Nothobranchius furzeri: one gene and its partner. Each later gene encodes a partner of the first gene's protein in a complex. Links are inferred from orthologs where the notes say so. Each region holds a gene or a part of one and is shown in the gene's direction. Other genes may lie near its edges.

What was found.
Region 2: the proteins of ctsk (region 1) and cst3 are in contact, whole or in part, in a crystal structure (PDB 8V57), measured with the Mus musculus proteins. The link is inferred for Nothobranchius furzeri from reciprocal best matches to the Homo sapiens genes CTSK and CST3. Residues at the interface, in NP_031828.2 of Mus musculus: Asn132, Gln133, Gly134, Gln135, Cys136, Gly137, Cys139, Trp140, Glu173, Asn174, Tyr175, Cys177, Gly178, Gly179, Gly180, Tyr181, Met182, Ser248, Ala251, Ser252, Gln257, Phe258, Val274, Asn275, His276, Ala277, Ser297, Trp298, Ser301, Trp302; in NP_034106.2 of Mus musculus: Pro27, Arg28, Met29, Leu30, Gly31, Ala32, Pro33, Gln75, Leu76, Val77, Ala78, Val80, Asn81, Tyr122, Pro125, Trp126, Lys127, Thr133.

Annotation. Positions count from the first base shown.
Region 1 is NC_091745.1:65,976,871-65,980,686, reverse strand, and holds part of ctsk (cathepsin K), read left to right. Parts: intron 1-731; coding exon 732-897; intron 898-3,816. UniProt on the Homo sapiens protein: Thiol protease involved in osteoclastic bone resorption and may participate partially in the disorder of bone remodeling. Displays potent endoprotease activity against fibrinogen at acid pH. May play an important role in extracellular matrix degradation.
Region 2 is NC_091752.1:310,498-314,800, reverse strand, and holds the start of cst3 (cystatin C (amyloid angiopathy and cerebral hemorrhage)), read left to right. Parts: upstream 1-1,355; coding exon 1,356-1,550; intron 1,551-4,303. Other genes in the region: ephx5 (epoxide hydrolase 1), read right to left, coding at 35-244, 321-501, 580-799, 894-916. UniProt on the Homo sapiens protein: As an inhibitor of cysteine proteinases, this protein is thought to serve an important physiological role as a local regulator of this enzyme activity.

The DNA of each region.
Region 1 (3,816 bases):
TAGAAACTGTGTTGCAAAGCAAACATTGTTTCCTCATGAGTCACTTAAAGGGAAGTAGAAGAAAGCAGAGTCATGGGGTCGGGTTCAGGAGATGGGACGTTGGAAGCCTTGACAATCAGTTTCAAGACTGAGGGACGAAAAATGAACAATTTATTATTAATCTGCTTTATAAAAACTGATTAGAGTTCATGTAAAATTGTGTCACATATTTTTGTTTTGTTAACCTGAAGTACTTGTTCCGTGTGTCTTTATTTGGTAAAATTATCTCATATTCATTGCAATTATTTTGACAAAAAATATTTGGTTTACATTTGTGCTAGAAACAAATTTCAGTGTTAATTAAAAAAAAACATGGTGTCAAATGTGATTTGCCAAAAGGAAACATTGTTGTGACATAGGGCTGGGTGATATGGCCTAAAATCAATATCACGAGATATTGAGGATTTCACCTCGATAACGATAAATGGATGATATATCTACAGGCATGCGCAGAAGCAAAAGTTGTCCACTAGATGGGGCTGTCACACGTATTAAAGGGATACGAACACTGCCAACCTACACACATCTTTTCATTTTTTTAATTATCAAATTTATTGACATGAGGAAAATTATCTCTATAAGAGTCGGAAATTTCGATTACGAAAAATTTTTGATTTATTGCCCAGCCCTACTGTGACACTAACCATCCACCCTCAACTGTAGAATTTTATTATGCTTGTATTGTTGTGTAGGAACAGCTATGCCGCTACAATTCATCAGGCATGGCAGCCCAGTGCAAAGGCTACGTTGAGGTGCCGAAAGGCAGCGAGCACGCCTTGGCCATGGCGCTCTTCAAAGCTGGTCCAGTGTCGGTGGGCATCGACGCAACGCAGCCCAGCTTCCAGTTATATAGGAAAGGTGAGCAAACCGCTGACAGGTTGTCTGATCCTGCTTTGGGGCTGAAATTCTGTCATCTGAAAATGTTTCATGTTTTTCCTTAAACACAAATTTGTTTTATTCATTCCTACTCAACTTGAATGTGAGGTAATTTAATAACCCTGAGTATTTGGACATCCCTAAACCATGGCTGGGTTAATGATAACTTGGCCTTGCGAGCCATCCTATACATGTAAATATATAGTCTGGCCACGACCCTCAGTCGCAGGGGCGGGATCTACGGTTGTCTGTCAAACTGTCTCTGGATACTATTGGACAGTGTTAGCACCAATCAGAGCAACATAAAGCATTCATACCAATGAAAATCAGCCAGTGATGCAGTCCACCACCATCAAAGAAAAGTCCTAGTCTAAACTGTCCAAACTTGATGCTAAAGTCATTTCAAATGAGTGCTGTTCTTGAGTTCCCACCATTGCTGTTGTTTTGCTGGATTGCAGCTCTGTCGTCATTGTAAAAAATAAAAAAGGCTCAGGGCAAACTTTTGCTATAGCTGTGGTTGGTCTAGATTTCTAGGTTAGAAAAACATAAATCCAGAGTTTTGTCTCTGAGGCACCATCTAGAGGCAGAAAAACGTATCGCACCTTAAACCCTTCTCCCTGCTTCCGTGATTACGGCTGGAAGCAACGCCTACTGTTCACAAATGTGCGCCTCTGGCCAGTGTTAATTTTGTTGATAAAATATTTTTGTTTTGTTTTTTCATGACAAATGAATTTTTGCTAATGAACACAAAACAACTGTAGTGTTTTCAACAGGAATGTTGGTGACACCGAGTTAAACCACAAATGAAGACCCTGGAGTTTAGCTGCAGCTTGTTTAATTGTCTCATGAACATGTGGTGAAAACTGAAATGACAGAAAATAGACTCCATCTTAACAGATAGAAGCATGTTTACATCCAAAAAGTGCATTACTCTCACTGAAACATTCATGTTAGCAAAATATACACTAATATCCAAAGCTATTAGTATAAACTGTCATATAAAGCAACTTACGGCGTTCCAGCCTGATAATTCAGAGAAGATGGCATCTGATTACATCTCCACGCTGCCTTCTGCATGAAGCGCCTGTTTCTCTGCGAAAACAGTGTTTGACCAAAACCGGAAGTGCACCGCCAGAACAGGAAGTACATTTTAGCGATATTTTCTTTTTAACTAAAACACATATAAAGCATGAATTATTCATTTTAACAACACATATCAATGTTTTTAATGACAAATCCTTTTAGAATTATTTACTTCAAACTTATGAACCTATTTATTCAGAGAAAGCCTTAAGGGCAACACACTCCCCGCCTGGCCTCGGGAGGCCACTATGCTAAACAAACATTATGCATTCAGTCCTTTGGCATGAGGAGGATAACTTCTGTAACCGGTCACATAAATGTCTTTATGCACCCTTGATCGCATGTCTTCACTTCAATTTCCCTTACTCGATTGTCCTTGCTTGGGAATGTGGCAGAGACCCTGGCCATGGGCCAGTTGTTTCGCGCAGCCTGCTTATCCTTTAACAGAACCAGGTCGTCAACTTGGAGGTTTCTGCACAACCCAGTCCATTTCTGCCTTTGCTGCAATGTGGGTAGATACTCTCGTCTCCAGCGTGTCCAGAACTGATTGGAAAGGGCTTGGACCCTTCTCCATTGTTTGTTGTAAAGGTCTTTATCCGAAAAGTCTCCAGGTGGGGGTGGGAGGCAAGATTTTGCGTAAGGAGCATTGAAGGGGATAGGATGAAAGGGTTCTCTGGATCAGAGGACACTGGGACGAGCGGCCTTGCATTTATTATGGCTGCAACATCAGCCATAAGTGTGCACAACACGCCATGAGTCAGTTGAACCTTGTTTTGTAGTAGCATGGAGTCCAGGATTCTGCGGGCGACTCCAATCATGCGCTCCCAAGAACCTCCCATGTGGGATGCATGCGGTGGATTAAACCCCCAACTGCAGCCTTGGACAGTTAGGTACTGTTGGAGTGATTTGTCCATTTCAAGTTCCTTTGAAGTGCTAATAAAATTGGTGCCACGGTCAGATAGCAGCTGTTTGGCGGGGCCTCTTAGAGCGAAGAAGCGGCGGAGGGCATTTACACAGCTGGACGTGTCCAGAGATTCGATTACCTCAATATGCACGGCTCTCGAACTCATGCAGCTAAACATGATGGCCCACCGCTTACTTTCAGCTACTCCACCCCTAGTACGCCTGGTTGTTATGAACCACGGTCCGAACACGTCAAGGCCGACGTAGTTGAAAGGAGGACAGGTTTTTAGGCGTTCAGGTGGTAGATCCGCCATGAGTTGTTGTTCTTGTTTTCCACGTAGTTTGCGACAGATTACACATTTGTGGATCACTGAATTGATTAGTTTTTTGCAGCCTAAAAGCCACAGCCCCGCGGCTCTGATTGCTCCTTCCGTCAGATGACGACCTTGGTGCTTTGTGAGCTCGTGGTAATGGCGAGTGATCAGAAGGGAGATGTGACTGCCTTTGGGAAGAATCACTGGGCTCTTCTCAGCACTCTCAATTTCCGCATGTTTGAGACGGCCTCCAACAGAAATGAGACTGTCCTGTAACAATGGGCTGAGCTTCTTGAGGGGACTCTGTTTCGAGATTGGCTTGCCAGCATCAAGGGCAGAAAGTTCCTTCTCAAAGTATGCCTTCTGTGTCTCTTTGAAGACAACAATCTTTGCTTGAGCGACCTCCTCTGGGGTTTGAGGCAGATGACATTTGTGCCAGCCTTTGCATTTTTTGTTTGGATTAGTCCCATTGAAGGACTTTGCAATGTGGATGAGATTTGCTATGACTCTGACTAAAGATCTAAAGGTAGAAAAGTGCTAAAAACGCTTACAGATGAATGCTTGGAGGTGAGTGGCATAAGTTTTTACTTCTGGTCTAATT
Region 2 (4,303 bases), on another chromosome or scaffold:
GAAGCAGACGTGTGCACACGTTATTCATAATTACCTTGTTTGTAAGGGGCTTCTGAGAAGCCATAACCAGGGATTGAGGGGATTACGACCTCAAATGCAACTCCATCCTGGCTCTGGGTGAGGAGGGGCAGAATCTTGTAGAACTCGTAGAAAGAGCCGGGCCAGCCGTGAACGAGCATGAGTGGCAGAACCTTCTGGTCCCCTCGGACTGCCTGGCGCACGTGAATGAAGTGCACATCCAGTCCTGCAGCACCAGAAAAAGTTTTTACAAGAGAAAACATTGAATCTAACCCGTTTGAACCCCGTGGAGCTGTGTGTACCTTCTATTTTGGTTCTAAAGTGTGAATACTTGTTCAGCATCGCCACCTGCTTTTTCCAGTCAAACTCATTCCTCCAGTACGAAACCACTTTCTTAAGGTAAGTGGAGTTAAAGCCATAATTGAAGCCGCAGTCTTCTAAAGGATCTGAGAAGCGGAAGCTGTCGATGCGCCGATGGAGGTCCTGTTCAACAAGATAACAGCTGATTCCTTCACACTAAAGCTGCTGTTGTTAGAAACTGGGTTGGTATTTTGCAAGCACCTTAATCTCTTCATCTGAGGTTTTCACTGAAAAGGGGTAGATCGTGTGATCCTCCGAGAGAGTCTTCTCTCCTGCTCCCCACCATCCTTCACCAAGAGGGATAGATCTGGCTTTGTTCCTCCTCTGCATGACATATGCCAGAATTCCACCTGCCGCCAAGGCCACAGCAGACCCGATAAGGAGTTGCTGCTGGACAACATCCAGGCCAAAGAAAGTGTCCCTGCAGGGGGGGGGGGGGGGGGTCCAGAAAATCAAATAATGAGATCAAACTTTTACTTTTCATATCAACATAAAACACCGCAAGGATTTGTTACTTTAAAAGCTGCAGTCTCTGCATTGTGAAGGGTCAAAACGTGCGCGTGCTCAGGTTTCTTTGTGCTGTAACAGGATAAAGGTCGACAATGGTTAATTTGTTGGGGGGGGGGGGGGGTTGCACACAGCACTTCGAAAAGTTGCGCGAGCCGAAATCTGCCCCCCGTGCCCCTCCGCGTTTTTAACGTACCTTGTTTGTCACGTTTTAAGTGTCCGGAGGGAATGTTCTCACTTCCAGTCTGGAGAGAGCAACCTCCGGGATAATCCGTTCCTGAACGCAGCCTTTACCTCAACTGGCTGCGGGGCGGAAACCCCTCAGAGGCGGGGTTTGTGTGTGTCTCGGTGATTCCTGATTGGCTGAGAGATAAGCTCGCGCTCTTGCTGTTGTTTACATAAAGAAGAATCCGGAAGTTCAAGCTTGTAGCTCTATTTTCTCAATACGTAGTTTCGGTGAACGAGCGAAGATGTGGAAGATTGGCTTTCCTCTCGTGGTTCTTTTCGCCGTCGGGCTCGGTAGCCTCGTTGGTGGCCCACAGGACATAGACCCTAATGACGATGGGGTCCAAAATGCTCTCAACTTCGCCGTTGCTCAGTACAACCGAGGCAGCAACGACGTGTACCAGCACGGCGTAGTCGGAGTGATAAAGGCTCAGAGTCAGGTCGGTTGGTTTTCGTTGTCGGTTTCAGATGAAAACGTGTCCAGAACTAGAGCTGAACGTGTCTAACTAAATCCTCTTTTTGTCACGAGCTATCCTCCAGTGCTAAGGCCTGTTTAAAGTGATAGCCAGACAGTTTAAGGCGGGGTTCTGAGAAAATGTTTATTGATTTGCAGACTAGCTAACCAGACTGCCAAAGTGCTTAAAGAGCAAGTCACCCCCAAATAAACTTTTTTTTACTGATAAACTAAATAAACGAGGGTCTAATCGTGCTGCAGACACGTGTAAATAATTTGGCACTTCAGTAGTTAGATAGTTAAAATTTAAATATTCTGCCTAAAACTGGCAGTGCTGTGCCGTTGTCAGGAAAAAACTCTGCACTGTATTTTAATTTAAATCTGCCACCGCTATTGGCTAAGAGGTATGCTATGATGTAAACTGGTACATTATGATGTCACAATGCTGTTGTGAGCCTGTGTGTGTGTATTTTTAAAAAGACTAAATCAACAAAATGCAGACGACTGAATGCTACTGTTGAAATCCTTCCTGACTAAAACAAAAGTCTTTAGAAGGGCTTATGTAAGTGATCAGGCATAAATCCACAGTTGAGCTGTTGGAGGTAGCTTTTTAAAAAGCTTCAGTTTGGAGAAACAGAGATTAGTTCTGTTTGGATCAAGGAGCTAACAGCTAGTCACAATTAAAATGAAAGCATCCCAACCACAAGTTCACAGCAGCTCGTGCAAATGTTGTTTTAAAACTTTTACATTGACATAAGACTTATATTACATTATTATGGAATTTGTCAAGTTCTCCTATGAATTTACCACTAAATGTAAATCAAACAAGGACGGGGAATGATGTCCTTTAAAGGCCTCGTTCCCTTTTCTTTTTTTCAATACATCTGCTGTGGTTACCTGGTATGAATTAATGCCTTGTAAGTCATTTTCTGTTCAAATTAATACCCATATGATGCAACAGTTTTTGTTGTCATAAAATGATAAAAGCATGTTTATAACACTTTTCAAAAATAATCACAAATTGGTGTAAAATAAAATTCTTAAAGAGCAAGTCACCCCCAAATCTACTTATTTTTTCTTATAAACTATATAAATGTGTGTGTAATCGTGCTACAGACACGTGTACTCAATAGTTTAGCATTTTGGTGCATTTTAGTTAAATTTTTAATTTTCTGGCTAACGCCGGGGACACACCGGCCGCGGAAGCGCCGCGAAAATGGGACCGCCTTCATTCGGCGCCCTTGTTAAGCTATTCTATAGACCACATGGGCCGCCGAAGCGCCGCGAATCGCCTCGTGCCGGCGCTCCAGCCCGCGCCGTGCAGCGATCATTTCGGCATCGGCTCTATTTTTTTCGCGAGCCGCGGGTGAATCGCGTCAATTCTGGCAGGAAGTCAAACCTGGACATAAGAGGCAGGCCGGTAAAGTTAACAAAATAAAGCATTTCAAAATAAAATTCCTCAATAGTCAAATGTGTTCGCAATCAGACACTGCAGAAAAACCACACGAACACGCACACACATCGAACTTGTGTGCGTGTGTGACCACGTGAAGGGGGGAGTGGTTTTGGGTGTCTTTTCACCGGAGCAAACAGGACAGAGAGGCAGAAAGTCTGAGGCAAGCAGTTAAGATGGATGACTTTAAATTAATTATGGAAGTTGAGAAACACAAGAAGCTGTACGACCCCTGAAAAACATGATTATTTATGTGCTCATTTCTGAAGAAACTGCTAGGATACAGCTGCAGACTTGGAGCGGGTTCCAAGAGATTCAACTGGCAGAAAGAACTCATACCATAGGTTCACACACACACACACACACACACACACACTCAAACGTAGAGGAAAAGAGCTGAGAAAAGGCAGAGAGGAAATGGAGGACACCAAGTGTTTAAAAGAAAAACTACAGCTGAGCCGAGGCGCGCCTCGACTAGGGCGCGTCTGATCTGAACTGAGGAGCGGCGAGCAGCGGCCGAATTTCGTGAGCGATTCGCTTCTCGGCGCTTCCGCGGCCGGTGTGTCCCCGGCGTGAAACTGTCAGTGTTGTGCTGTTGTCAGGTACAAACTCTGCACTGCATTTGAATTTAAATCTGCCATTGCTATTGGCTAAGAGGTACCCTAGGGTGTTAGCTGGTACCATATGATGTCACAATGTTGTGTTGAGCCTGTGTGTGATTGTATTTGTTAGCAGCTCCGCCCTCTCGGTCTGCTAGGCAACAGCATTTGTTGCATTTTTCAAATAGGAAGTGGGAGTTGAAGAATAATCTGCTAGGGGGTGGCTTGCTCTTTAATACAATAAAAAGTGTCACTTATGGAGTCTTCTCTAAAAGCTGTTCTAAATAAAATTGTCTCCAACTGCCTTCAATCCCTTGTAAACAGGGTCAGAAGTTGGCATTAATCCACTTCTGGTTTTAATGTGGCCTGATGGAGGATTAGTACCTTCATCAGATCCAGTACCATACCCAAGGCTGGATTAATTCAATTCAAGTTTATTTATATAGCGCCAAATCATGACAAGAGTCGTCTCAAGGCACTTCACATAATAAACATTCCAATACAGGACAGTTCATTAAGCCAATCAGAAATAATGTTTCCTATATAAGGAACCCAGCACATTGCATCAAGTCACTATACAGCAATCCTCATACTAAGCAAGCATGCAGCGACAGTGGAGAGGAAAACTCCCTTTTAACAGGAAGAAACCTCCATTAACCATATGGGCAACTGGGCAATTGCCCAGGG